Linked DNA regions of Elephas maximus indicus. The protein of the gene in region 4 interacts with the protein of the main gene of each other region in a pairwise test. Links are inferred from orthologs where the notes say so. Each region holds a gene or a part of one and is shown on either strand. Other genes may lie near its edges. The genes, in order: TRIM41, CHIC2, PAK1IP1 and MEOX2.

Region 1 (6,976 bases), on a different chromosome or scaffold from region 4:
TTTACTGAGGTGCTACTGGATGGGTTCGAACCACCAACCTTTAGGCTAAGAGTTGAATGCTTAACTGTTTATACCACCCATGGACTCCCTTCAGGGCCTAAAACAGGATTTTCAGGCAGCTGGCATTTGGTAGATGTGACCAATACAAATAAAATCCAGTTTCAGAAGGTCCTTAGAGGAGTCCTGCAGGAGAGTGGAGGAAAGGAGGTGGAATGCCCACGGAGAGTCTATCCCTGGTTCCAGTTAACGGAGTGACTGCACATTGTGTGACTGGTACAGTTAACTAGGAACTGAGGGGATATAAAAAGACAACGGGTGTTCATAACCTCCCATAAGGATACACGGGTAAAAGGCAGGTGATGTTAACCAATGCAGTGATTCCTAAACTGGGCTGGGCTCTCCTAAGAATTCTCCCCACACCAATTCAGAATCTCTAATGGTAGGACCCACTGTACTTTTGAAAAGTTCCCCTAGGAATTATGAGAGTTAGCCAGGTTTGACAATCACTCCTTGAAAGGAATAGTTAGTGATAAAGGGATATAGGTCTTAGCCGTACATACTCAGAGCTGAGAAGCCCTAGACATGTTACTCTAAAATTGACATAACAACAACAACGAACCTAACTTGAGGTGACTGTAGGAATCAGGAGAAGGTGTGAAAACACAAGTCAGAGCAAAACAGCACCGCACAGACCACAAAGAAGTAGCCACCCTCTCCTTCTCCTGGTCCTGCTGCTTTCAACCCATCCAGGCTTTGGCTTAGTAGTATTTACAAACAAATCTCCTTCACCTATGTCCAAGAAGAGTCAAGATCAGAAGAAGGGGGCAAGATATTACCCAAACCAGAATCGGTCTCCAAAGAGGAAGGTCACATGTCAGAAATGTCAAACTAACAACAGACATCCAAATGGTGGTAACAGCTTCTAATGGATCGGGGGGCAGGGGAGTCATAACCAAATCCATTTATTAGTAGCTCTGTGGTCCTGTATACATTACACCTTTCTGGTTCTGTCTCCCAATCTGTAAAACGGGAATGAAAACATACCAAAATCACAGTTTTTTAAGCTTTAAATAAGAAAGTCCAGGAAAAGCGTTTAGTAGAGTACCTGGTATACACAGTAAGTGTTCGATAAATAAATTAAAAAACCCAGTAAATATTAACTATTAATCCTGACTTGATGGCACCTAACAACAACAGCAATCATGGAGAAATTAAAGTTCAAAAGATTCAGAGACTTGCCCAACACTTGACGGCAAATAAGTGGCAGAACCAGGTCATCTAACTTAAAAAGCTTCTCTCTTTTTTCTGTATGTTACAAAAAGTAAGAAGTTCTGGTCAGTATATCAGACTGCTGCAGATCCTACAAAAGTTCTCAAGGGGAGAACCAAACCAAATCATGGGGTGGGTAGGGAACTCCAGTCAGGAGACAAGTGGGGGGCACCTGTCATTTTTACGCTCTGCTTCAGAGCCCAAATTATTGTTCTCTGAGAGTCCCCATCTCTTGGGGTCTCCGTCAAAGACAGGCTTAAGATTTACCCAGAGGAAGTGGAGACTAGTATTAAAGCACTAGGGGCCTGTCACCTGCACTCCTACACTTAGGGACAGTGGAAGAGTGAAACAGTAGTGGCCTGCTCTACGGGAGATGCAGCCCAGTAATCTGGCATCATCAGCTTTGCCTTATATCCTTTGAGGAGGCCAGTCTTCGCTGGTCTTCTTTGCTGTATCTCCTTTGTCGGTGTACAGGACCCTTCTGACCCTACCCCACCTGGGTGCCAGTAAGTAAATGCTCACATAAGGAGAATCAGCTCACCAGTACATGAGGTTCTTGGGGGGGAAAGACGCTTCCATTTCCCAGCTCCCCTTACTTTCTCTCCACCCCCACTAAATTCCCATCTTCTCTCTTCTCTCACCTTGTACTCCTGCACCACCTCCTCCAATGGCACCACGCTGTGCTGTTTGTGGCTCCTGGATTCTCGGCACACTACACAGATGGCCTCTTCGTCCACTTCACAGAAGAGTTTCAGGGCTTCTTGGTGTTTGGGGCAGATGCCCTGCTCGTTCCCACGACTCGCTCGACCAGGGGCTGGGTGCATCTGCCGAATCACTTGGACCATGTTGGCTAGCTGCAAGTTCGGACGGAAGCTCCGCCGGGGAAAGCTCTTTCGGCACTGGGGGCAAGTGAAGCACCTCCGAGGGGCAGGAGGCGGAGGCAGTGGGGTGACGGGATCTAGCTCCTCTTCCTCATCCTCCTCCAGTACCTCCTCCTCGTCCTCCTCATCCTCCCCCCTCAGGTCCTCCTCCATGTTCCCCAAGTAGTAGTCCAGGTCTTCCTCCTCGTCCTCCTCCTCCCACACGTAGTCCATGTTGTCCCAGTTAGACCCGCCCATGCCATTGGTCCAGAACACTCCCTCTTCTTCCTCCTCGACCTCCTCCTCCATATCGCCCTCATAGTCTTCGTCCCGCATGGGGGTGTCCCACCCCCCGCCGGCTCCCACAGCCTCCACTTCTTCCTCGTCTCCGTCCTCCTCCTCCTCCTCCTCCCGGTCTAACTCGTCCCTGTCCTCTTCATCCTCCCCGCCCCACAACTGGGTTACACACACTCGGCAGAAGTTGTGCCCGCAGCCGATGGACACGGGGTCCGTGAAGTAATCGAGGCAGATGGCGCACACCGCCTCCTCCTGAAGGGTCTGCACAGGGTTGGGTGTCATGGCAACGGCAGCCATCTTAGCGTCCAGTCAGCCAGTTTAGATGTACGGTGGGGGCGGGGAGGGGGGCGGGGGGTCTTCCCTCTCAGACGCCCTGGCGACCCGGCCCCACCCCCAGCCCTGCCTCTCCACAGCTCGCTTCAAGTGCCGCCTGAGAAATGTTCTTCTGACAACCCACCCCTCCACACAGAGCTCCCTACTCCCAGACGACAACCGTGTCTCTGCGTGGGCAAGGGAAAAAGCTGAACGCTATCGCCAACTCCCTCAGGTGGCCCTGAGTGCAAATCCACCCCAACGCTTCCCTGGCCTCCTCATAAACCCCCGCCCCTCCTCACTTCCTGGCCCCGCCCCCTCACTTCCGATTTCTCACCCAACACTTCCGGCGTCTACGCGCCAGACAGGCTCGTGAGTTTCCCCCCCCTTCCCCGGTCCCTGGGCGACAGGAAACGGCGAGGAGACGCTCTAGCGGGCACTCGGGAACAGGGCGGGAGGGATAGGACATAGGAGCCCTACATCTCTGTGATGCGGCGGGGTGCGGAACGCAGAGCAAAAGCCCCGCCCTTCCCCTCCTCAGTCACTGGAGAGAAACTTGGGAGAACGGTGGGAGTACTTGGCGGCTGTCCGCTCTCGGTGCCATGACCGAATCGGCCGGGCGCCCCCCTACCGGCCGAGTACAAATGACACCCGGGCCTCAGCGCTGCCGGTGCCGGAAGCAGAGGGGCGGGGCTTCCTTGAGCGCTCTGCAGCGCTTCGGCCCTTCTAGGCGGAGGACTTTGTTGTTCGAGCGCTCAGATTTCCTCGGTGATGGATCAGGGGGCGGAGCCAGAGACACCCTACCACTATAGTTGGCCTTGTCAAAAACCTCAATTGTTTACAGAAACATGAAAAATTAGCGTAACGGAATATATTTATTGAGTAGATACTATTCCACTCAGGCAGCGGTCACCCGAACGTGTTGGGAAGACTCTCCGAGAGGAGACTGTGAAAGCGGGTTATAAAGGTCAATGTTATGTTAATTTATCAAGAGATAACATCAAGCACAGGGCAGGTTACAGAAACAGTCAACAAGGACATGCCATATATTCTAAAACAGCCTTTAGCCAGACCCTGGAACTTCTGCATTTCGAAGCTGAATGCACAATGCCTAAGGCCAATGTCTCTGCTAAGCGGCATACTGAACTCGTTTGACCTGAAGGTGACTCCAGGGAACCAGTTCTTTAAAGGTTCAAAAGAACACCTAAGGGCTGATGGCCTGGGTGGGTCACCCCACTTCCATGAACCCAGAAATCTGGATTTCAGGAGAATCAAAACGATTTTGTCAGCATCTTCCATGCCCATTTTAGAGATTGTTGCCTGATCACTGTAGCCTCCTGTAGGTGAACTTCCCTAACTCCCATCCGTAAAGGGATGGTGACAGATCTTCACACGAGGAGCTCTGGAGTCGCAGTGGTTAAGACCTCCACTGCTAATCAAAAGGTGGGCAGTTCAAATCTACCAGCTGCTCCTTGGAAACCCTGTGGCCGCTCTAACCAATAGGGTCACGCTGAATGGTAATCGACTCTACCCAATGGGTCTGGCTTTTGGTATATCCACACAGTGGAACACTATCTGTAAAATGCAAATCCATCTTCAAGATTTATTAAGTGAAAAAAGCAAGATACAGGCAATGTCCGGGCTATGAACGAGATTCCTTCCAAAAGTGTGCCTTTAAGTCAAACTCGTAGGTAAGCTGGAACAGGTGCATATGTTTCTTATTTAGCCTTCAGTGCAAGAAAAGTCTCGATGCCTTTTCAGTGATTTAAAAGTTGCCTGTGCAGCAAGTGAAGGTGATTGTGATGAAAAATTTGTTGCAAGTAGCAAGCAGTTGGTTCAATCATTTAAAAGTAAAGACAAATTTACATAAAGGGCAGGTACCAGTTGTCCATAAGTCTGACATCAGTAATCTCGGGACTTACTGCACAGTGTGTAGAGTATGTCCTCATCTGTAAAAAAGAGGAATATGTTTCAAAGATGTATTTGATATTTGCACATTCCTGCGCTTCAGTTTACTCATGCAAAATGAGGATAATAGTACCTACCTCAGAGGTTTGTGAGAATCAGAGCAAATATGTAAACCGACAGAACAGTGCTAAGCACATAGTAAGCGAGATACATTAGCTACGCATTACTTATCCTTTTCATCAATGTCTCTGCAAAGATACTGGCAGCCGAGTTCTGCTGAGAAGGCAACGGAATGGCCAAGGGTCACGAGTAGGAAAGACACTTTCCCTGTATCTTTCTGTCTTCTTTGAATTTTGAACCAAGTGAATGCATTACCTTAAAAAAATGAAAATACAAAACTTTCTAAATGCCATCGATTAATTCAACTAATACTTTCCGAGCTGTGCACCACACATATTCTGCTCACAGAAAGCCTCAAGGTTTGTCTTCTTGGTGCCCTCGTCTACGAACAGGGCCTCGGACTGGGTTTGTGGAATTGATTTTACTTGAGGCAATTCTGTCCAGGCTGTGGAATTGTAGTAGTAAAGATGCCGCTGTGGTACCCAACATCACTACTAAGTGGATTTCATGTGTGATAGCAGTAGTTCTAGATGCTTTGTTTAAACTTCTTGTAATTAACAGCAATAACAAAAACCTGTGAGCCAAGTTCCTGCCCATAATGTTCCCGGTGGTGCAGTTGTTAAGTGCTCGGCTCCTAACCGAAAGGTCAGCTCTGAGACAGAAAGATGTGGCAATAACCTCCAGTAAAGATTTTTTAAAAAATGCGAATCACCCTATAGGACGGAGTAGAACTGCCCCGTGGAGTTTCCAAGGCTGTAATCTTTACAGAAGGGCACTGCCACCTCTTTTCTCCCACTGACCTGCTGGTTGGTTCGAACTCCGGTTAGCAGCCGAGCGCTTAACCACTGCACCACCAGGACTCCTTCCACAAAACGTTACAGCCTTGGAAACCTTATCGGACAGTTCTACTCTGTCCTCTGGGGTCGCTATGAGTCGGAATGGACTGAATGGCAATGGGTAATGTATGTGCAGAATTGCCAGCGAGTGCCAAATGCTGAGCGGTACCAGGGCACCACATCCAGAGTTTACCCCTTTTTTTTTGGAGACACTTTTCGCCTCGTGAGGAACTCCAGAAGAACAGGAGGTTCCGAAGTGGGTGGTCCGGGGACTCTGAGCGGCTGACCCAAGGCGCGAAAAGCCACGAACCCGGCGGTTCGCAGAGTGCGCGCAGATGTGAGCTGAGCGGGCGCCCGCCCAGACGCACTGGCTTTAGCGCTAGAAGTCAGGCCACGGGACTTGAACACTGCGGAGTGGCAGTGCGACGCGCCTTTGCGGATTGCAGTCGCACTTAGAGCTGCCATTCTCTGCCACGTGTAGTTTGAGGATTGTATTAAGGATGTGCTGATAATCTGTGTTTTTGTAGTGTAGTGGCTATCACGTTCGCCTCACACGCGAAAAGTCCCCGGTTCGAAACCGGGCGGAAACAGCCTTTTCTGGTCTATTTTTCATTTCGATGCCCACGTCTTCACGGTTATCTCGTCTGCGGCTCGAGATAGGGGGAGGGTGCTGTCACATGGAGGCATATACAGACAGATGTGTGTATCTAATCTGTGTTTCAGGGAAACAGTAAAGCGCGATCACAGCAGAGCTGGGCTCACACCAGATCATAAATGTTCACAATGTCAATTCAGCTAAAAAAAATTTTTTTTTTTTTACTACTCTTGCCTTCGGAAGCCTGGGCCGCCACCTCCTCCGGATAAGGGCTGTAGGTTGTAGGCTTCGGATCCCCGGACCTTTGTGTCTAGGGCGCAGCCAGGCGCACAGTAAGTGATCCATGAATTCTTGTGCAATTAATTCTGCAAAACTCCTTGAAGTGTGTCCGCACGCCTGCTGTGTATCCCGGTTTCCTGAGGCCGAAGAAAAAGGGTTGCGGATGTTGTCAGACTATCTCAGTCGGTAGGGCACGAGACTCGTGAACTCACGGATTTGAGCCCCACATTGGGCGTGTATTCTCTTTTGAAAATGAAAATGGCTAAGGAATTTTTGTGCCAAAGAAGAGTCGGAGGGAGACTGAGTGGGCTTTGGCATCGTGGACTGGCGGTGTTCGCCGAAGCTTGGCCAGACAGGAGGTCGCCCAGGTACTGACTAGAAGACCTCGAGTTGGAAAACCCACAGCCGTAGGGCTTTGCTGACCATAGGTGAACGAGTAACTGGTGGGTATCAGCCGACCAACTCTTGGGGCTCTTCACCCTGGGTCACGGCTCCGCCTG
Region 2 (7,282 bases), on a different chromosome or scaffold from region 4:
GGACTGGACAATGGGTAGGAGAGAGAGGCTGATGAAGAGTGAGCTACTTGTATCGGGTGGACACTTGAGACTGTGTTGGCATCTCCTGTCTGGAGGGGAGATAGGAGGGTAGAGAGGGTTAGAAACTGGCAAAATTGTCACGAAAGGAGAGACTGGAAGGGCTGAATCATTAGGGGGAGAATGAGTGGGAGTATGGAGAAAGGTGTATATAAGCTTATATGTGACAGGCTGACTTGATTTGTAAACGTTCACTTAAAGCTCAATAAAAATTGTTTGAAAACAAACAAACAAAAAAACCCCATGGAGCACAGTTCTACTCTGACACATAGGGGGTTGCCATGAGTTGGAACTGACTGGATGCCAACTGGGTTTTTTTTTTTTTTTGGTTCTTTTTATCCGGTTTCCGTTTGAGCCATCTGCTCTGGAGGTAAATGTGAAAGTGCGTGAGGCAGGAGTATAAAGGGGAACTCAAAAGAAGAGATGTCCATGCAGGGATGGGCCCTTAGCAGGGAACAGGAGAGCACCTGACAGAGGGAAAAGATACTGAAAAACTGTGGTTCATTCCACAAGTGATTGGGGGAAGGAGTTTGACAGGAAACCTGATTCTAGGAGGTCGGGCATGGAGCTTGGAGTTCTGATGTCAATTGTCATCAGGAAAATGTTTGACTCATCTTCCTTCACCCTCTCAGCCTTGTTACCAGGTCCCACACCTTTTTGCTGGCTCTGACAGGTTTTTTGCAGAGCAGGAAACAGAAGAGCAAAATAGGAAGAGCAAAAATAAGGCAGCCCTACCTTACACTCAGGCCGTGGGAGTTACAAAGATTTCTCTGTTGAATAGATCTTAGAAAAAGAACATTTCTCCCACATTGAACTGGTATTAAGATAAGGGTGAGGTTCACACAGTCCTCTGAAGCCTAAGGAACTCATGATATTCTGGAAATAGCACTAGTAATAATATATCTCAATTCAGATAACATTTATTGAGTTCTGAAGCAGGAACTGTGGAGAGCGCTGGAGATTTACGTAGCTGTGCATGACTTCCTCTGCCCTTGAGGAGTTGTCAGCTACGTGATGATTTAGATACTTTGGGGTGCCAGCCTCTTACCTTGGCCACTGTTTCTGCAGAAAGGTAAATTCACAGCCACAGCACACGGAATGCGGGCTGGCTAGGACCATGCTGACCTTCCTTCCTCTTGTTCTTTCTTCCTACCCTCCCGTTTGCAGCTGCACCTTCTACTGAGTGCAGACTACCTCCTAGTTTCTGCCAAGAAGGAAATTCAGAGTCTGGCTTACCCAGTGCGCTGGAGTTGAAGCCCTGAGTTTGATCATTAAATAATTATGTGATCGAAGAATGTCATCAGTGTCACTGAAATGTACATGTACAAACTTGAATTGGGTGTATGTTTTTGCTGTGTATGTTCTCAACAACAAAAATTATTAAAAATAATAAATAAATATCAGTCATAATAATTTTATAAAATGTAGTCTGTAAAATACTTTGTATCATGTTTGGAAAATGATTTCCTTGTGGCAATGTACTTGTGGAAACATACTTCCTCAAATTCATTAAATTAACATGATTGTCCTAAAAAAAAAAATAGTCATATGGGTAAGTCACATAGCACCTCTGAAACTAAGTAATAAATGACATTTCTCCTTGCTTACCTTACAGAGTTCTTGGGGGAATATTACATGTTTTATTATGTATGTGCATCAAAAACTGTAAAGCCACCAGGGTTTCCGTAAAGCACTATACAAATACAAAAATTGCAATGATCCTTCTAGAGTCTGGGGGCACTCTGGATGGGGCCTTAGAGTTTGTTCAATGTCGCCTGTGTGCCGGGCACTGTTCTAAGCACTTCACATGTATAAAGACATTTAATCTTCAGAGCAAGTCCCTGGGTGGCACAAGTGGTTTGTGATTTGCTGGTAACCTAAAGGTTGGTGGTTTGAACCCATGCAGCAGTGCCATGGAAGAAAGGCCTGGTGATCTGCTTCTATAAAGCTTATTGTTATTGTTGTTGGTTGCTGTTAAGTCGATTCCAACTCATGGGGATCCCGTGTGTGTCAGAGAAGAACTGTGTTCCATAGGGTTTTCAAGGTTATGACATTTCAGAAGCAAATCTCCCAGGCCTGTCTTCCGAGCTGTAAGGATTACTGCTAAAAACACCCTATGTAACAGTTCTACTCTGTAACACACGGGGTTGCCATGAGTTGGAATCGGCTGGGCAGCAATGGATCTAACCTTCAGAGCAACCCTGTGACATAGTGTCTTAGTTATCAAGTGCTGCTATCCCAGAAATGCCACAAGTGGCTTTAACAAACTAAAATTTATTCAGGCCAGAAGTCCAAAATTGGGGTGCCGGCTCTAGGGGAAGGCTTTCTCTTTCTCTTCACTGTGGGGGAAGGTCCTCATCAATCTTCCCCTGGGTCTAGGAGGTCCTCAGCGCATAGGCCCCGGGTCCAAAGGACTCGCTTCGCTCGCGGCTCTTCTTTCTTGGTGGTGGTAGGTCCCCCCTTCTCTGCTCAGTTCTCTCACCTTCTATCTCTTGTAAAATAAAAGGTGATGGAAGCTACACCACAGTGAAACTCCCGTTACATCAGATCAGGGCTGTGACTTGAGTAAGGGTGTTGCATCCCACCCTAATCCTCTTTAACATCATCTAATCTTGCCTCATGAACCACAGGCAGAGATTAGGATTTACAACACATAGGACAATTACTTTAGGTCACAAAACACACAATACTGAGAATCATGGCCTAGGCAAGTTGACACACATTTTGGGTGGACATAATTCAATCCATGACGTGTAGGTACTATTATTATCCTCATTTTACACAAGAGGAAGAGAGAGGTTAAATGACTTGCTCAGGGTCACATAGTAAGAGGCAGAGCTGAAATGCAAAGCCAAGCAGTAATGCGTTAACCACCAGACTAAGCTGCCTCCTGTGTGCACCATTAACACCATCTGTATACTTCTCTAGGAGTCAGAATCAAGTAGACTACAAAGGGTACACTTGACTAGGAACACTTGGTAGAGAATTATAACTGCTTGCCTTAAAGGTAAATAAACTCCTGGAAGGCTGGGACTGTACCTCCTTCATACACATGCTCACACACTTGCACATTGCCTGCCAATTAGCTGGAGCTCTGTAAAATTTGCTGAATGAATAAATGCGTTTTGGGGAGGGATACAAGTCTGGTACACCTGCTGTGTTTTTCCTTCTTTTCTTGGCTGACTGCTTATTTCCTTCAACCATTCCCAAGAGGAGATTGTCATTTCTCACTGTTCTCGTTGCTCTCCTTTGCACAATCTCCTCTTCAACAAATGGTGCATCTTAAGTGAACTACCTTAATGTGAACAGAGTACCTGGGGAATATTCCGGGTGGGGTGGGACTCTTCCTTCCTCCCCTCACAGTATGTTCTCACTATCCAGGACTCTGTCCTCAGAAGTCCACTCCTGCCCCTGCAGTATTTGTTTGCCTGGGCAAGTTCTTGGCTCTGAGATCAAGTACCCGAGATGACCCTAACGCCTTGACCAGAGGTCTAGGCAGGTAAACGGAAATCAATCTTTTTTATTTTTGCGGAGGACGGGGCGGGGGTGGAGGGAGTTGAAAGGAATTCTTTAAGCTTTTAAAGAAAGAAAACTGATTATGGGGAGGGGGGGAGAGTTGGGGCAGGAAACTGCATCTTCGAATCTAGAACCCAGAGAATTATTATCCATTTCATTTCCTGGCGCTACTACGGTGATCTTTCTTGAAAGAAGATTTCGGGACTTGGCCTCATAAGTTGGACTGTATTTAAGGGGATAATAGGGCAAGATATATGAATTTGGAGATGTGTTGGAAAATCTTGTAGTAAAGTGGACAAAAATGTTTGCACTGTGTCTGTTTGGCTCCTCAAATTGGGAAAATACAGACCCCGGTTCACAGTCCGAAAAGTCTGATGAAAAGAGAGATTAGATTATTAGATAAACTGGCTATCATATGCGGGATAAATTTTCCAATTCCAACCAGGGCTTTATTCTTCGTTGTTTGTTTTGGTTAGAGACTACTTTGGGGAACTGTACGCTCCACTGGACGCTCCGCACTGTTCTGGGTAACAGGTCTCGCTGCCATTCCCCAGAGCCGCCCCTTTCCCGGGGCAGGAGGGCGGGGCCGCGCTGGCGGGAGCGCGCGCCCGAGGCGGAGTCTGCGGTGGGAGTGGAGGAAGGAAGGCGGCCTGGGAGCGCGCGAGGCTGCCAAGTGCGCGCGCCCGCCAGCCCGCTCTTGCGCCCACGCGCTTGCCCGCACTCCCGGGAAGTCTCGCGATGTCGTAGCCGGCTGCTCCCGCTGCGGGTGGCTCGGGCTGTTGCTGTGGTTGCCTGAGTTGCTGCTGCTGCTGTTGCGGCAGCGGTGGTGTTGGTGGAGGTGTCGGCCCCGGGGCGGGCGGATGTTGACATTGTTGGTGTTGTTATTGCTGACGGTAATGGCGGCGGCGACGGCCGGGACCCCATCTCCTCTGTAGCCGGAGCCGAGAGACAGCCTAGAGCGAACTCCGCGGCCTCCGAGCCGGCGGCAGCAACTCCCCTCAGCCTCCGCCGCCTCGCCAGCCCGGACCCCCGCCCCAGCTCCTGAGTCAGGCCCCTTTGGGCAGGGGTCGCGGAGGCTCGGGATGGCGGATTTCGACGAGATCTATGAGGAGGAGGAGGACGAGGAGCGGGCCCTGGAGGAGCAGCTGCTCAAGTACTCTCCGGACCCGGTGGTGGTCCGCGGCTCCGGTCACGTCACCGTGTAAGGCCCGGAGGAGGGTGAGGGCGAGGACGGGAGGTGCCGGCCATGGGTGGGCCCCACTTACACCTCGGGAGCCCCTTTCCCCCTCGGTGTCCGCTTCTGTCGGGGGCCTTCGGCAAGAGAAGGCGACCAGGAAGTGAGAACTTGCTTTATTTTCATTTGCTTGGGTTTCCCAAGTAGGGACAGACACTGCCCTTCCTCGCCCCACACACCCCTTTTAGCAGGCCCCACAGGCCTGGGCAATGTGACGGATCCCAGTAGCGAAGGTTTTTCTTTCGGAATCTGCTCTGCGGGCTACCTGCAGCTTTGGGGTGAAGTACACGTATTTTCGAGGTGCCCCTCCCTTGTTTTCTCATCCAGTTACCCTGCGGGTCTCTCCTTCTCTGCCTTTGAGACTAGTGACATATGTTCCGGAGGCCAGATCTGGGCCATGGAAACTGCAGTGACCATCAGGATGGAGGTTCACTCTCGTTTGTGTTTTTCACACATACGCCAGGTCTTCCCAGTTTCTTTCAGAGTTAGTTTCTGCGGAACTAATGGCAAGTTCCTGTAATTGTTTATGATACAATATATAACGAAAGTATAATTAAAATGTGCAGAAAGATATACCGTTTACAACTAATTTTTTAAAAATCTACATGATAGACACACTCTGTTCAGGTTACTGAGGATTCGCAGTAATCTAAGTCCCTTCTTGGGCCATGAACCCTAGCATGGCTTCTTCATTTGATAAGGTTTTTTGTAAATCTGGCTAGCAACATTGTAAAAGTCCAATATTATTCAAACAATAGGGAATGAAAGCTTTCTGAAGAGTCATGACTAATAAAGGAATGTGAAGACTTGAACCAAATAATGAGCTGTCTGGAAGCAGGAAGTTTTGTATGTTTCTGTGAGAAGTCCAGAGTTTTGTACAACTTGAAGTATTTATACGTTGTCATTTTAGGCCTTTTGTTTAGATCATCGATCAAACTTTCATATATGCTTTACCTTTTTAGTAAAATAGAAGGACCAGCAAGTCTGAGACTATCTGGAGCAGTTTCATTATATTTTTGGTATAGGATGAGTGGCATGTGCTGTGAATAACTTAGTGAAACAACAGAAAGACTTTCATGTAAGATTTTCAGCAAAATCCTTGCATTTTTCAGTGTACAATATGACTAGTCATATTGTTGTTTGGGTATGCTTATGTAATGCTTTGGTCTGTTTAACACCTGTTAGTTTATATTCACGTGATTTACCAGGGTAAAACACTGTGTAATTGCTGTCACAGCACCATAAGACAATGGAATTTATCACCACAATAACAGTTACTGTTTTAACTCTCATTACCAGTTGCAGTTAATACATATAACCAAATCTGGATATTAAGCCTTTTGTTAACATACATAGCAGAACTTTTTTAGTCTCATAACCTGACATTTAATTTTTAGTTCAACTCTTAAGGTCTTTTTACATTATTTTAAACCTGAGGAGTAAATGAGTGCTTAAAGAAGGGATTTTTCAGACTTTTTCATGTTGTCTACTCTTCCCCTTGTTCTTATACATTCCTCGTGTCAAAGAAAATCTGGTGACATTTTGTTATTTAAGAAGGTGGAGCTATAGTTGTACTGGAAACCTGGCGGTGCACTGGTTAAGAGCTAGGCTGCTAACCAAAAGATTGGCAGTTTGAATCTACCAGCCACTCCTTGGAAACCCTATGGGGCAGTTCTACTCTGTCCTCTTGGGTCGCTATGAGTCGGAATTGACTCGATGGCACCCAACAACATCAACATAGTTGTACTCTTTCCTTTGTTAAAGGTAAAGAAAAGCTAAACACTTTGGGTGCCTAAATGGAAAATATAATGACTGAAGTGCTCAGAACCAAATAGGTGATCAGTAAATCGGATTGTATAGGCAGTCCCCAACTTAAAACAGGGTTCTGTTCTGACGACTCTGTCATAAGTCATTTCTGATGTAAGTCAAATCTCTCTCTCTCTTTTTTAGTTTTCATTATTGTTGTCTTTTATTCCAAAAACCAAAGACCAAACCCAGTGCCATCAAGTTGATTCCGACTCATAGTGACCCTATAGGACAGAGTAGAACTGCCCCATAGAGTTTCCAAGGAGCGCCTGGCGGATTTGAACTGCTGACCCTTGGGTTAGCAGCTGTAGCACTTAACCACTGTGCCACCAGGGTTTCCCTACCTTTTATTAGCAGTATGTTTATAAATGAGGACCCCTTGTGGCATAGTAGTTAAGCACTGGGCTTCAACGGTTCAAACTTACCAGCTGCCCTGCAGGATAAAGATGTGGTGATCTGCTCCTGTAAAGACATTAGCCTCAGAAACCCTATGGGGCAGTTCTACCCTGTCCTGTGGGGTCACTGAGTTCGAATCTACTCGACGTCAGTGGGTTTGGCTTATCTTTATAAATCTAATCTTTGAACACCTGCAAGTGAAAATTTAAGAATGATAATATTAGCAGTTATGTGCTGCAATATTGTATGTAGTACATGCTACGAAGAATAAGA
Region 3 (7,930 bases), on a different chromosome or scaffold from region 4:
AAGATTCAATTCAGATGTAATTTTAAGGATCCTTTAGGTAAGCCCCCACCCCAGCCCTCCCTGACTAAGTTAAGCATTTCCTTACATCTCCCAAGGCAGACTGTAAGCAACTTGAAAGCAAGGGACCAAGTTTTTCATCTGTATGTCCTGTAGCACAGGATCTGCTCCATAATACTGGCTTAATGAACTGTTTGCCTAAAAGCACATTGTAAAATACAGTGCCCCCATATTATCTTAAACAATACAGCTGTCTTACCATTGTGATGCACCAGAGCCCCATGCTCTATCTTCTTTTTCATGTCGTAGATGTGAATTGTTTCATCTTTACTCCCAGTGACTACAAAACGACTATTCACAGCCACGGCTGACAAGGAAGCAGTGTGGGCATGGTGAGTGAAGTCAGCCACAGCGGTCCATTTCTGCTGAAGAGTAAAACCTACCATCAGTGCCACAGTCACATCCAAGTACTCCAGAGACAGATAAACGGTTCCACAATCTGTGAAAACTACCAATGGATATCACCAATGGAGAAGAAACTACACAATAATATGTAGATCGAAAAAAAAAAAAAAATCACCTGAGAATGGAATAAGGAAGGCAAGTGGAAGGTGAGACAGGAATGCCAGGTATCATGACTCCAGGACACGGTCATGAAGACTGGACTAGAGGGACTTTTAAAGTTCCCTCCAAATCTTTAACTCCTTACATATTTACTTACATGTGAGACTTCTGTATCATTCTTTCACTCAAATATTTAAATTCTGACTTGAATTTATTGATTCAAATACCGAATGCCTAGGGTTGCTATGAGTCAGAATTGACAGCAACAGGTTTGGTTTTTTTGGTTTTATCAGAACTCGGCTGCTAACCCAAAGGTTGACAGTTCAAATCCATCAGCCACTCCTTGGAAACTCTAAAGTACAGTTCTACTCTGGCCTATAAGGTCACCATGAGTCGGAATCAACTGGACGGCAACGGGTTTTGGCATTATTTTAAGCAGTTGTTGTTGTTTGGTGCCATCGAGTCACTTCTTACTTGAGATATAGCAGTAAACAAAGAAGACCAAAGTCCCTAACCTAATGGAGCTTTCTTTCCATTAGGCAGACAATAAACAAATACAGAACAAGTTTATAAAGAAAAACTAACAGGGTAAGATGTTTGCATTAGTACCAATATAAGCTGTGAAGAATCACCAACGATTACACTCACTGCCATGTAACTTCTGGATTTCACAGTGTGATTGCATCAGTGCAAAGAATGACAGCAGAATACACAAACAGTATGCCTTACATTAAAGGAGACACACCAAGAAATATCAGCCAAAAAACAAACAAGTAAACCCAAGAAAGAAAACAACAACAAACTTCTTTGAATACACAGGTTAAGATGTGTTACTGCAAATAAATCCCTAATTAAAAGCAACAGATGGTCCTCCATAATTTTGCACAAAGGCACAACTTTCTTGAGGGGCTGCTACACCCAGAAATCAAAGAATAACTCCTGCCTGTACACATTATGAAAGCAATGTTGATTGTTTAGGCAATTGTCTGTCTAGATTTAGAAGCAGTGGGTAATGAAGGTGGCTTGGTGGCACAGTGGTTAAGCACTCCACTGCTAATGAAAGGTTGGCAGTTTGAACCCATCAGCCACTGTGCAGGAGAAAAATGTGACAGCTTTCTTCTGTAAAGATTCCAGCCTTAGAAACCCTGTGGGGCAATTCTACTCTGTCCTATAGAGGCACACAACAACATCGGATAATGGTTAAGAGCTTCAAGAGTCAAAGACATCTGGGGACTTATTTGCAGCCTGGCATTAAGCAGATCTTATCTAAACTTCAGGTTCCTCATCTGTAAAACGAGGATAACTCTACCTTCCTTAGAGATTTGCTATGAGGACTATTATATGTCTGGAACATTGTAAACAAATTTATTACAAAGAACCTACAATTAATAGCATCATCTTTGACTATTTAGACATGTCACCTTTAAGCAACCGCCAAAAACTGATTTATACTAGACTAGAAAACAAAATAAACAAAAGCCGTTAGTCAAGTCATATACTTCCAGTTTTCTGGTTAGGTCCAGACTGACACCTTAGTTAACGATAAACATGAAATAGGTTTCTAACAGATACCTAGGATTACTTAAAGGAAAAGGAAAAGAATAGTACCAGCTAGAAATTAGGAGAGTAATTTCTAATCCCGGGCATGTCCTACCTGTTTGACTACTGGCAATTCATTTAACATTTTTATTCATAATCTGGTAACATAATTACTTCCGTCTCCCCAGTCCTTCACCATTATGGAGGGGATGTCTTCAGGATTCATATCTTCCCCATCTTTGCACCTCCACTGCCTAGCCCACAGTAAGTGCTCAACGAATAATCCAACGAATTGGTGTCATTTTATTTTGAGTTTATCTTGACCCAGCTCTAATACGTTGTACAATTCCAGAACAAAAACTGAACTGAATGAGCGAACTGTTCATTAAATTCTGAAGAGCTAAACCGCGGTCTGCTTATGGGAGCAACCCTTAAACCCACAATCTACGACTCATTTGCCCGCGTTCAGAAATGCCAGATTCCTTCCTTTACTGTGGGCATTTTCTCTAATCTAATAGATATGATCATTTTTATGAAATGCCTACTGCAGGTTTTAAAAGGCTAACTTTTTATTTAAGTTTCTGAGTCTGATTCACCAATTAATCCACAGACATCAGACGACAAACATCAGGTGCCCAAATGTTTACCTCTGCCACGTGGGAACCAACCTGACCCCTCCCCCGCCTCCGGCGGCCCCTCCAGGAGTCGGCTCTCACCTCGAGGTCGCCGCTCGCCTGGGGCTCCCGGTGCACAGCGAACCCAAAAAGGACCTGCTCGTAGCAACCAGCGACCAGCTCCATTCAACAGCGCACGTGTCTCTTCAAAGAGCCCTGTACAGCGTAAAGGAGTGTACCGCGCTCTGCCCAAGAGGAGCAGGGGCTTTCCTTCGTCGGCGCGCAAATTATACGTCACGGCCATGGGGCTGCCTTTTAGGCGCCTGCAGCCGTGAAAAGTTTCAGCGCTCGGAGATGACGCAGGTTTTCCAAGAAAAGAAGAGGAGACAACGTCACGTGAGGATATGGTTCTTATTGTAAAAAGAAAAAAATTGGGGTACGCAGACATATTCTAGGAAACTGGCGTAGTGGTTAACTGCTACGGCTGCTAACCAAAGGGTTGGCAGTTGACATCCACCAGCCGCTCCTTGGAAACTCTATGAGGCAGTTCTACTCTGTCCTATAGGGTCGCTGTGAGTCGGAATCGACTCCACGGCACTGGCTTTTTTGGTTCGTGAGCTAGGTGCGTCCGAGGGAAGCGGGGCAGGACGTTCTCTGCGGAGGCCCCTCATTTCCCTGACGTTCTCAGGCAGGAGCAGGGCCAACTTCCGGCCTAAAGCGGGAGGAGGCTGTCGCGGCGGCCTAGTGTGGCGGATGCGGTGTTGTGGGCTGTGATACAGGTGAAGGGGAGTTAGGTTTCGTTTTTGTGCAGGAAGCAACGGGACGAGCCTCTCTCTCACACACACATTCTCTCGTAGGAGGACAAGGAGGTTTGGGATTTAGGTTTCGCAGTCACCGGAGTCGGCGGACTTTAGGGCCAGGTGTGCAAAACTGAAGTCCGGGCTCTGCAAGTCCGCTTCCCGGACTCCCGTCTGCGCGGGCCACGCAGTCCCGCACAGCACAATTTTCCTTCCACCTTGGTTCTTGGAGCTGACTCTCAGATCGGACCTGGGACCTGTAGGGTTGGGGCACATTATAGGGAGGAGGACGCACCACGTGGGAGGTATAATAAAAACTGACTGACTTAACAGAAGGGGAACATTCCAGAAGGAACGTCACCGGTTAGGGGCAAAATCAAACGGTAAATATTGCCTTTTACGTTGGAGGTTTTCATACGGTATGGAGATTTAGGGATGTATTAGAAACTATAAGTTTTACACACTTCCGATAGAGTAAATTGCTCCCTTAATTTCGGCTCATTTCGACCCCATGTATGCGGAGTAAAACTGTGCTCCAGCGGTTTTCAGTGGCTGATTTTTTGGAAGTAGATTGCTCGGCCTTACTTTTGAGGTGCCTCTGGATGGGTTTGAACCTCTAACCCTTTGGTTAGTAGTCCAGCGCGTAAATAGTTGCGCCGCCCAGGGACGCATAATTAGTTTTCATAAATGCCATTGCAGGTCGACTTGGAAAGCAGGTGTTAGATGCATACTTGGATGTCAAATCTTCAACCCCGTTTGAAATGTAATGCAATCCTTTTAGCACTTCAGACCTTTTTTGCTGCCAAGAACGTTTGTTCTCTGATATTGTGAATTGTCAGTATCAGAAAAGAAGAAAAACCAAACCCGTTGCGGTGGAGTTGATTGCAACACATAGCCATCCTGTACAACAGAGTAGAACTGCCCCATAGGGTTTTCTAGGAGTGGCTGGTGGATTGGAACTAATGACCTTTTGGTTAGCAGCCGAGCTCTTAACCTGTGCATCGCCAGGGATCAATTAAAACAATTATGTGCTGATAATTCGGAGTCCTATAGGGTCACTATGAGTTGGAATCAACTCCACCGCAACCCATTTGGTTGTATTGTTGTTTTAATTGATACTGGTTTGGGTCTTTGTCAGAATGACTTCACTGGATGCTTTGATGGGCTGTCATTGCAACTCCAGGAAGGCCATGTCTTCTATCAGCTGTGGCAGCTCCATAAGTAATAGTCTGTCCTCAGAACCTGAAATGCTATAGCCCATCTGGTTCTCAGTCTCTTGAGAATTATAATCCCCTCACTTTGTTTGTGCTAGTTATATTCACTATGTTACAAAAAGTCACATTATCTTATTTAAGTTGTTTTTTAATTTATTGTTTCTTAACTATTTCCACCAAAGTACTACTAAAGTCAAAGTGTGAATTCCTGGGGGGGAGTCTGTTGGTCATGCACCAAAGGAGTAAGTAGAAAATCTTTTTGTCTCATTTTATCTTAAAAAATATGATTATTTCATTTTACTCCATGACATATGTGTTCATATTTAATGCAAAATAATCTGCCATCCAAAAAGAAAAACAACTTTGAATAAAACTGATGTTTACAAATCACATGCTTTGTATATTCTGTTGGATGCCCATGTACTCTGCCTCATCCTCCCAAGGAAATCTGATCTGTTGCTTGGAAAGTAAACTCGTTGCCGTCGAGTGGATTCCGACTTCTAGTGACCCTACAGGACAGAGTACGGATTTCAGAGAGTGGCTGGTGGATTTGAACTGCTGACCTTTTGGTTAGCAGCCGAGCTCTTAACCACTGTATCACCAGTGGCCCTTTGGAAAGTACAGCAATAGTTAAATGTATATATTCTGAAATTAATTTCTAATCTAACATTCTACAGCATAATTACTATATTCAGTATCTGTCACCAGAGTGTCACACTTAACACCTGCTCCAGTATTTGTCAGATTTCAGAGAAGAACCTTATGGTTTGAAAAGCCTTTTGCTCTAATCAGGAATCTTTTAGAATATGTATTAGTGGGTTTTAGAATGAAATCCAGAGTCAAAGCAACATAGGCATAACTCTGTGGTTTTGTTTATTCTTTTTACTTTTAGAAATGAGTGGAACTAATTGTAGAGCTCAGAAGGACCTTAGAGAGCGTGTCTGGCCCACGTGTTCTTAATCTGCAGGATTTATGGCTAGGTTTTAGAGACTTTAAATCCGTGAAGTGACATGCAAAACTGTGTATGTGGATTTTGGGAGGAAAGCATTGGTAAAATTTAAGTAAATTTTCAAAAAGATTAAGCCCAAAACCAAACCCACTGCTGTCGAGTCAATTCCGACTCATAGCAACCCTACAGAACAGGGTAGAACTGCCCCATAAAGTTTCCAAGGAGCACCTGGTGGATTTGAACTGCAGACATTTTGTTTAGCAGCCATAGCACTTAACCACTACGCCACCAGGGTTTCCAAAGGGATTAGTGGCTCATAAAGGCAGAATGCACTAATCCAACATTAACTTGCAAATAATGAAATGTCGAGAATGGTTGGGCTTGAAGATTCTCTTTAACAGAGAAGGAAGGAGCAGCATTCCATTTTATTCATTGCCATGGCAGTAGTTTCATAACTTGCTCAGGTCACAGTTTCTCATTGTCTGGAGAAAAATACACCATGCAAGATTATACACCTGTCCAACTGGATTGGAGTGGAGCATACTTCCTGTAAAACCTTTGTTCTGTTCTCTCTCCAAACACAGGATGTAAAAAGCCATTTAATCTTATCCTTGTGAAAACTACAGTTGCCAAGAAACAACCAATTGTTCAGAGTTCATTAATCAACACATTTTGCACAGCAGCATTGTTTTGTTTTTTTTGCTTTTAAGTTATTGACTGAAAAGCTTTTTGCACTTACCCATGCATTGATATACTCATTCCAACATTTATTCAGTGCCAGGCTTTGTTTGGCTTGCTGAAGAAAATAAAAACACAGCCAGTTTTTCTTTTTAGGGGGTGGTGGTAAGTCTCTGGGTGGTGCAAATGGTTAAGTGCTGGGCTACTAACTGAAAGGTTTGAACTCACTTAAAGGCATCTCAGAAGAAAGGCCTGGCAATCTACTTTGAAAGGTCACAGCCATAAAACCCTGTGGACCGCAGTTTTACTCTGACACATATGAGGCTGCCATGACTTGGAATTGACTCGATGGCAACTTGTTTACTTTTGGTGGTAAGGTGGGTATCCTGGGCTAACAGCAGAAAACAGTAGAGGGAAAACTGGCTCTGTTAGCAGCGCTGTGAAAATCGACTATTCCTGTTCAGTTATACTTCTTGATGTGGCAGGTAGCATATCTGCTAGGCTGTAGGGGTTCAGGAGTTGCATAAGGTTGTACTCCCCAGAGGGCTTTGGTCCCATTTGTACTTAGAGCCAAGGAGATGCAGAGATAGTGGTCTCCTTCCCCTGGATGCCGTCTGTCCTGATACAAACTTGCTTCACTTGCTTCATCGGAATAATCCAGGTGAGAGGAGAAGTTTGTATTTGGGGCTTTCAGAGAGGGAAATATTTATGTCAGTGTCATCTACAGAGCCCCTGAATGTTCATCTTTATCTGCGGAACCTTGGGGATGGTCTTATGCACCCCAGCTCTTGCCAGCTATCTGTCTGTGTGGTTTCAACATGATACTTGGGCCTTTCCCTTCCTTAGCCTCCTATCACCTCATTATCAGTGATCAACTTCCACATACCCTTCCAACTACAGCCTCATCTCCCACTCATTCATAGTCAAAATTCTGGTTTTCTTTGTACAAAATAAAGTCAGTCCTAAAATGAGGAGAAGAAAAAAAAAACTACGTTTTTACAAAAAGATTGCTTAAGTCTTAAGTCCCTTAATTGATGTTTTATTTGATGTCTAAACCGCTACAGTAGTTAGGAATCATGTTAAGCAAAACATCTGTTCCTTAAATAAAAGAAGTCTGAGGCGGCAATCTAGTGCTGATAATAGGGACTCCACAATTATCAAGTACTCGGATGCCTTCTCTCTTTCAGATCCAGTAATCTCATGCATGACTTCCTCCTGATGTCACCTCATAGTCCAAGATAAAAAAAATAACTGCAGTTATTTTAGCTCCAGCCATCACATCTGTATTCTCAGCACTAGGACTGGAGAAAGGGTGGAGGACAAAAAAGGCTTCTTTAGCTGAGCAAACTCCCTTTATGCAGTCTTCCTGAAGCCCCTTAGAACAGTTCTGTTTACATCTTATTAGTCAGACTTTGGCCACTTGGCTACCTCTAGCTGCAGGGCGGGGGGAGCTGGGAAATGTAGTCCTTTAGCTGGGCCTGTTACATCAAAGTAGCCTTGGAGATGCAGTGGTTAAAAGCTTGCAGCGTTTGAAAACCAACAGCTGCTCCCCCCCCCGCCCCCACCAAACCTCCCCTC
Region 4 (7,011 bases):
GAGGTATACAGAATCACTAAACAACAGGAGTTAACCAAAAGCAAATTATTTCTTTAAATTTTATAATATAGGCTCCTGGAGGAAGCTAATTCCTCAGTTTTGTAAAATATAGTATATCATAAATCACAGAAATCATCACAGCATATTTAGGATATTTGTACATATTTTCAATTTTTTTTTTCCAGAAAGACCAACTGAAAGGCATTAATGTTATTTCTTAGGGAAATATTAGAGATACAATGTTTCCATCTTCAACAAAACTTTCAGAGACAAATTTCCGTTTCAATATAATTACTCACACGCAAATTCATCTGGTTATATGTTACCAAGGCAAACATTTGTCTATCAGGTGAAATGCAAAGTAGAGTTTTGTATCTGTTGATAAACATCATATTTTATTTTAAATGTTTTTATTTTTATCACACCTCACATCACAAGCATACAGGAGAACGGCAACTCTTATAAGAATCATAATAAATCTCAAGATAAAGTTTAAATACAAAACTTGCAGATTGCTTAATATGAGTTCTATTTTCCTTAAAATAGTGCTAATCAAAACTATCTTTCCCTTTATTATTTAATATGATTTCATTTAAGCAGAGGGAACAATAGATACATACACTTACAAACTTTAAAGAGTCTAACACATGTTTAAAATTATTTTGACAATGTTTCCTACAAGAGCTGAGCAGGTTACTTTTTTCATACATTGAGCCCCTTTATAATGTGCCACTTGGTATTAAACTTTGTATGAAATATTGTCATTAACACAGCATGCTTTTCAGGAAAAGTTGAAGGATATTGTAAATATAGACTACTGCACGTTCCATATATAGTTTAAAATAATTGTTATAGAAATCTTACGATAAATATTTAATTATTATCATTCTTCATGATATAGCTAGCCATTAGAAGTTAAAAGGCATCTTTCAACATTGGATTTTATAAATGTGGACACTGAAGTAGTCATTACAGGAAATGCTAGGGATTTTTTCCTGTTGTTACTATACGTTTAAAAAAAAATTCTCTATGGCCTAGAGAATAAAACCCAATATTCTATCTTAGATATTCCAAATATCTAAGAAATTAGAATATTAAAACCGATGTATGAAATAACACATACATATTTGAAAACTGAAATTTAAAAAAAGCATATATAATTCCAAAATGCACCCATATATTCTAAAAACCCCCTTTTTGACTCCTTTCTTTGCATTATACTTCTTTTCACTTTCAAATAACATTTTCCTTATATAACGCTTTCAACTGAAAATTGGGACTTACAATTGTTACTGGTATTAAATGTTCTGTGTCTTCCATTAAGAAGACCTTTCTTGCTAGCTTTGTGTTAATTGCATGCCTTTGGAAGACACTCCCTCTCTCTTTCTAACCTTTACTAAATTTTTCTTCCCAGACTCTTGGCCCCACAGTTCCAGAGGCTGACTGACTAAGGCAGGTTGTAGAGAAACTTCTGGATATGTTGTTAACATCTGACACAGCGAAGTGAGAAAAAATCCAGTCCAGTCACCAGGCAGGTTCAAGGAGAAATGGCAGCTCCTGGAGATGAAAAGTTTGCGTGGCTAGTTGCTAGTTACCTGCAACACACTGATTAAATTCAAATCCATTCTTTTTTCAATGGCTTAGCTCCTTCTCTATCACTGTAATAGAAACCAAAAGGACCGTTATGGATATCTTTTTATTGGGGTCTACAAATCAAGTGTGTCTTTAGTCAATCTTGTCTGATATTTTCTACAGTTTAGTAGACAATATTAAACCCACTGCCAATATTACATTATGTAAATATTTCTGGCTACTGTTTATTGAGGTAAAAAGTTGCCTAAATTTCTATTTGGATAAACCCTTTAATAATTTTACCCAGAACCCGAGTTTGGGACCTTTAGTATTGCTCTTTGTACTTCAACTTTTAATATCAGAGCACATATTGAAACGATAAACAAAATGAAAATTCAAAAAATATTCCTTCGATATTGAAAGAATATACCCTTCCTTTTTTTACTCTTAAAAAACCAAAGGCGTGGGGAGTGGCAGGAAGAAATATTCTTAAGATCTAAGCTCTGGCTCCCGTCCTATGAATACTTAAAACCCCTAAAAACGTGCAACCTGAAGAACACTCTCTTTCGAAGTCTAAAACAATGTTAGATTCCCAAAATATCGGCAAAGAAAGTCTTACCGTCAAACGCTTGCAGCAGGTTCCAGCTCAGACCAAGACTGAAAAAGCGGAGCAGCTGGTGAACAAAAGTTTTAGGTTTTTTTTTTTTTTTTTTTAAACGAAGTCTGCAAAACTAATTTTCCTCAAAATAGGGCTCAATTTCCGTTAAAGAAAGCAGCGCTTACAAATCTCAGAATTCCTGATTACCCCCACCCCATCCTCTCAGTAATGGAAAATAATTCGATCTTTCACACGGATGTAAAGGTTTATTGCGAAGCCACCACACTGTAATAGAACTTAAAAGCAAAAGCTAGAGAGAATCAGGCTGAGGCTGGAGAGACTGGGCGAGAGGAAAGTTCTGCCTTGGGGACACCGCTCAAAGGTTAATCAATACTTTTTCCTAATTCAAACCAGATGGCTGGCCCAGTTTGCTGTCTCCATTAATTCCATTAACAACTTCAAAGACCTGATCACCGTCCTCTGGACACCTGAGACAATGAAAATAATGGCGCGACGCTGCTGGTGGCGCATTCGGGGGCCACGGGAGGGATAGGTGACCGCAGATATTCTCCTGATGCGACACGTCGCAGGCAAGACCCGGCCGTTCCTGCAGCTCATTACGCGCGGTTCGTTTGTCGTGTGTAAATGACTTTGCCCCTAGCAGACAGGGTCGCCCCCAAGCAAGTGGCAGTATCAAAGGCAGCGCCTGCCCCTTCTTGGAAAGAAAATCGAGTACAGCCCTCTCTCGCTGGTAGTTACCGGTGGCAAGTTTTCTAATTTTTTTTTGAGGGGGGAGGATGCAAAATTGTTACTAGGGAGGCCCAAAGCCCCCAAATTTAGTAAACTTGGGGTGAGTGTGGGGAGTGTAAATGGACCCATGGGGGGATGCGAGCAACTGATTTATGTTTGAACGGAAGAGAGTGGATTGCTGGAGGGAAATGAAGGGACTAGGGCTCCTGAGGGGAAATGTGCGTGCCATCTACACATTTCATGTGATCGAGAAGAGAGCACTTTGTAATATTCCTGACCCAGGAAAAGTTCTCCTTGGTGGGTAAAAAAAAGTGACCAGGAAATTGAGCGGGACCAGGAACGGGTACGGGTAGCGTTTGCGGAGGGCGGGGGGGGGGGGGGAGGGAAACCCCACCTGGCATCGCAGGTGAGGATGCCAAGACCTGGGTATCTGCAACTCTACCCGCCTCACGCATTCCTCTCACCCACCCCACCAGGTCCTTCTCCTTTGAGCACAGAGAGCTGCCGTTTCCCGTTCGCGTGAACATCCCTGCAACCTCGGATTTGGAGCCTATTAACAACCCGCCCACAGACACCAGCGGCACAAGGCTGGGAGCGCTGCTGCGCCCAGGGCGCAGGAACTTTCGAAGTTTGAAAAACTGACGCCTCGGAGCGCGCGCCAAACTACCGCTGATCTTTTTTCTCTATGTTATTGGCCCTTCCGTGCGTTTCCTGCAGGTGACAGTTCCCAAGTGGCTTTGACAAAACATGTTTCCTGAGAGAAGTGAGCTAGTTGAAAACTGGGTGCTGGGTTGGGGCTGCGATGCGCCGCCGCGCGTCTTTGCCGATTGAGCCGCAGGGAAGAGCACTGCCGGCCCAGGCTGCGACCTAGGCGCCAGGAGCACCGCTTGCAACTTTGGCGTCTAGCAAGGTTGTGACGGGTTTAGAAGCACTGCGTCCGCCCAGCGCGGAATAGGAAGTGAAACTCCGAGCGCGCAGCGCAGACTGAACGAGGGTTTTGGAGGGAGTTTGCATGTGGTCAGCGCTGGGCTCCTAAGCCAGCCCCCAGCTCACATTACACTCTATTTATAACCTCTCAGAGCAGTTTTCCCCTGAAAGCAGTTCTCTGGGACCACCTTCTTTTGGCTTCAACCTCTCCTCCTCTTGACATCTGAGTAGCTCAGTGGAAAGCTCCTCCAGGTCCGAGTGTTTATATGTAAAGGAGACTGGCCGCTAAGGCTCAGGACCGGGATTATCCCAGCTCTGCAGAAACGCGCGGCTATTGCTGTGGGAGGGGGGTGGGGAAGTCACAGTTTCCAGTGAAAACTGACAGAGCTTGGTGGCTTTTGGAACCTTCGTGAAATCTTCTGTCTGGAACCTGAGACTTGCATGCTATGGAACACCCGCTCTTTGGCTGCCTGCGCAGCCCCCACGCCACTGCGCAAGGCTTGCACCCGTTTTCCCAGTCCTCTCTCGCCCTCCATGGAAGATCTGACCACATGTCCTATCCCGAGCTCTCCACTTCTTCCTCGTCTTGCATAATCGCGGGATACCCCAACGAGGAGGGCATGTTTGCCAGCCAGCATCACAGGGGTCACCACCACCACCACCATCACCACCACCATCACCACCAGCAGCAGCAGCACCAGGCTCTGCAAACCAACTGGCACCTCCCGCAGATGTCCTCTCCCCCGACTGCGGCTCGGCACAGCCTCTGCCTCCAGCCGGACTCTGGAGGCCCGCCGGAGCTGGGGAGCAGCCCGCCGGTCCTGTGTTCCAATTCTTCTAGCTTGGGCTCTAGCACCCCGACAGGAGCTACGTGCGCGCCAGGAGACTACGGACGCCAAGCGCTGTCGCCCGCGGAGGCGGAGAAGAGAAGTGCCGGCAAGAGGAAAAGCGACAGCTCAGGTAAGGGCGCGCGGGACACCCTCGGCGAGAGTGTGCACGGGGCTGGAAAGGAGGCGGAGAGATGCCAGGGAAGATTCTGGCAATACAATGAGGCAACAGGAAAAATGGGACCTGTTTGCCCTTTCTGGTTCTCCGTAGACTAATTCAACGGGGCCGTTTTGGTTGTGTTATGGGGTGCACGAGTTTTTCTGTGGGCAAAACAAGTGCAGCCAGCAGCTTTAAGCGCTCCAAGGTCCCATACTAGTTCATCAGAGGGTTGAGAAAAAAGGACAAGTGACATTACTGAAATAGATTGCGAAGCTTGTCCTTCCGCCCGAGGGGTGGGGAGGGAGGTGCGCCAGGGGATGCTGTCTCCGCCGCCGTGTGCGTGCGGGTGCCACTCCTTGACTTCTCCTTTGTAAGTTCCCGACTCGGAGTTGCTCGATTTTTCCCATCGTTAACTCGATTTCCAAATTATTGCACAATATTTGGAACTTGCAGTGGAATTTGGCAGAGCGCATGAGAAAAAAAAGTTCTAGTTTTTTTTTCTAAATTCTTATTTCAGAGTTCTTTAAATAGCACTTTTTTCCAAATGGTAAAAAAAAAAAAAAAAAAAAAATTATCTTCCTTGAGGAGAAAGACAGTATCTAGGAATTCCGAGGATTTTAAGCAATGTGTCAGAGAATTGTAAAGAAATAAGTAGATGTTCAAACTCTTCAAGAAAGAGAATTCTTAATAGTAGTTCGCCTTCTCTGGGTACTCATCTAAAGAGAAAACGTTGAGTTGCAAAAGTGGAACATAAAATACTCCTCTAATTGGGTATTATCTGGGGACAATTACTGTGAGGCAAAAAAGCAACTCCGGTAGTTTTGGTTTGCTGCGTGCCTGAAGCTCATATGTGAGGGTGAGCGCAGGAACCACTGAATTTTATGGAGATAACTTGAGTAGCCACGCAAAAGAGGAGCCTTCCTCAACTCCGGTGCTTACGGCACAGCTTGCCAAGTAAATTTTAGTAATTCTGAGAAACAGACTTTTCCAGAGAGCTCTTAAAAGCCCTTACCTATCTGTATCTTACGAAATTGCTGAATGATACTTAATAGTTGCATTTTTGAGTTTTCTTCTGCAGCTGCGGCGCGACCTGGGTTCCATCTTTTTGGAAAGTGTCACTTGTTTAATGTATTTGCATATTTATCTTCCTTTGCGAAATTGGTTTAATAGTTTCAGAAGGTAATCCTAGGTAATGGTTTCAAGCTTTGAAAATGTTTATTCTTTATAAAGCTTTAGATAAGATCCTACATAAATGACAATGACTGAGCCGCGGATTTCATTTCCTTAGCAGCAATAGTATCAATCTTCAGGGCTGGTATGGACTACAGCCTTCTGTCACAATCTCAAAACCTAACTTTTACTTTTCAAGGTCAGGAGTGAATTTCTGATTTTTCATACCAAAGTAGTTTATATCTAAGAGTTACCAGCTAAGTCACTCATTTTTAATGGATTTTACTTAGTGTAAGTGAAACTCTCAAGACAGTGAGTTAAAAGGCTAATCTTGCAGGAAGGTTTACATCTTCATTAGGAAAAGGAAAAAAAAAAAGGTCCTTTTGGAATACAGTAACGTTTTTATAGACTGAGCATTTGACAGTGTAACTTTGGGAAAGCAGATCCCAGTTCAGATTGGTCAGTCTACTTTTACAACTACCAGAAGCTCTTACCGTTCATTTTACTCTCTGCAATGAAAAATCTATGTGAGGGATTATTCCTTACACTGACTGAACTGAACCAATGCACCTAAGTTCCTTAGGACAAACTGCCTTTTCATACAGATACATGTTATTTTGGTTGGCGGAAATAGAGAAAGTGGGATCTAAAAGCTGGTTGTGTTAAATTATTTTAATAAAAACTTTTTGAAGCTCCTTGGCCAATAGTGCTACTCCAGCTCCCCCCCTCTTGTCGGAAGCTAATCACATAACGAAGTCTATTCTTACAGATTGACGCTAATTACTAGAGTTATGGAAAAACAAAGAAAAGTTTGTCAGCTGCACAAACTATTAATAGAACATAACTTGATTGGGAAATACTTTTAGTCATCACCAAGGGTAGGTTCACTGGAGACTTAGAGTGAGTTTTTCTTTGATGGGATATTTTGAAAGGATTTTTGACTAAAAGGAATATCGCAATAGTTTCTGATTAAACATATGTATATTCATTAAAAATAAAATTTAAAT

What was found.
Region 1: the proteins of MEOX2 (region 4) and TRIM41 interact in binary tests that used the Homo sapiens proteins (3 or more experiments, as listed by UniProt). The two-hybrid records come from large-scale screens. The link is inferred for Elephas maximus indicus from reciprocal best matches to the Homo sapiens genes MEOX2 and TRIM41.
Region 2: the proteins of MEOX2 (region 4) and CHIC2 interact in binary tests that used the Homo sapiens proteins (3 or more experiments, as listed by UniProt). The two-hybrid records come from large-scale screens. The link is inferred for Elephas maximus indicus from reciprocal best matches to the Homo sapiens genes MEOX2 and CHIC2.
Region 3: the proteins of MEOX2 (region 4) and PAK1IP1 interact in a two-hybrid assay, tested with the Homo sapiens proteins (2 studies listed by BioGRID). The two-hybrid records come from large-scale screens. The link is inferred for Elephas maximus indicus from reciprocal best matches to the Homo sapiens genes MEOX2 and PAK1IP1.

The regions. Positions count from the first base shown.
Region 1 is NC_064820.1:199,954,007-199,960,982, forward strand, and holds the start of TRIM41 (E3 ubiquitin-protein ligase TRIM41), read right to left. Parts: upstream 3,024-6,976; 5' UTR 2,724-3,023; coding exon 1,911-2,723; intron 1-1,910.
Region 2 is NC_064823.1:107,538,603-107,545,884, forward strand, and holds the start of CHIC2 (cysteine-rich hydrophobic domain-containing protein 2), read left to right. Parts: upstream 1-4,272; 5' UTR 4,273-4,655; coding exon 4,656-4,774; intron 4,775-7,282.
Region 3 is NC_064819.1:54,151,080-54,159,009, reverse strand, and holds the start of PAK1IP1 (p21-activated protein kinase-interacting protein 1), read right to left. Parts: upstream 3,021-7,930; 5' UTR 2,901-3,020; coding exon 2,817-2,900; intron 423-2,816; coding exon 257-422; intron 1-256. UniProt on the Homo sapiens protein: Negatively regulates the PAK1 kinase. PAK1 is a member of the PAK kinase family, which has been shown to play a positive role in the regulation of signaling pathways involving MAPK8 and RELA.
Region 4 is NC_064826.1:76,480,172-76,487,182, reverse strand, and holds the start of MEOX2 (homeobox protein MOX-2), read left to right. Parts: upstream 1-4,006; 5' UTR 4,007-4,293; coding exon 4,294-4,807; intron 4,808-7,011. UniProt on the Homo sapiens protein: Mesodermal transcription factor that plays a key role in somitogenesis and somitogenesis and limb muscle differentiation. Required during limb development for normal appendicular muscle formation and for the normal regulation of myogenic genes.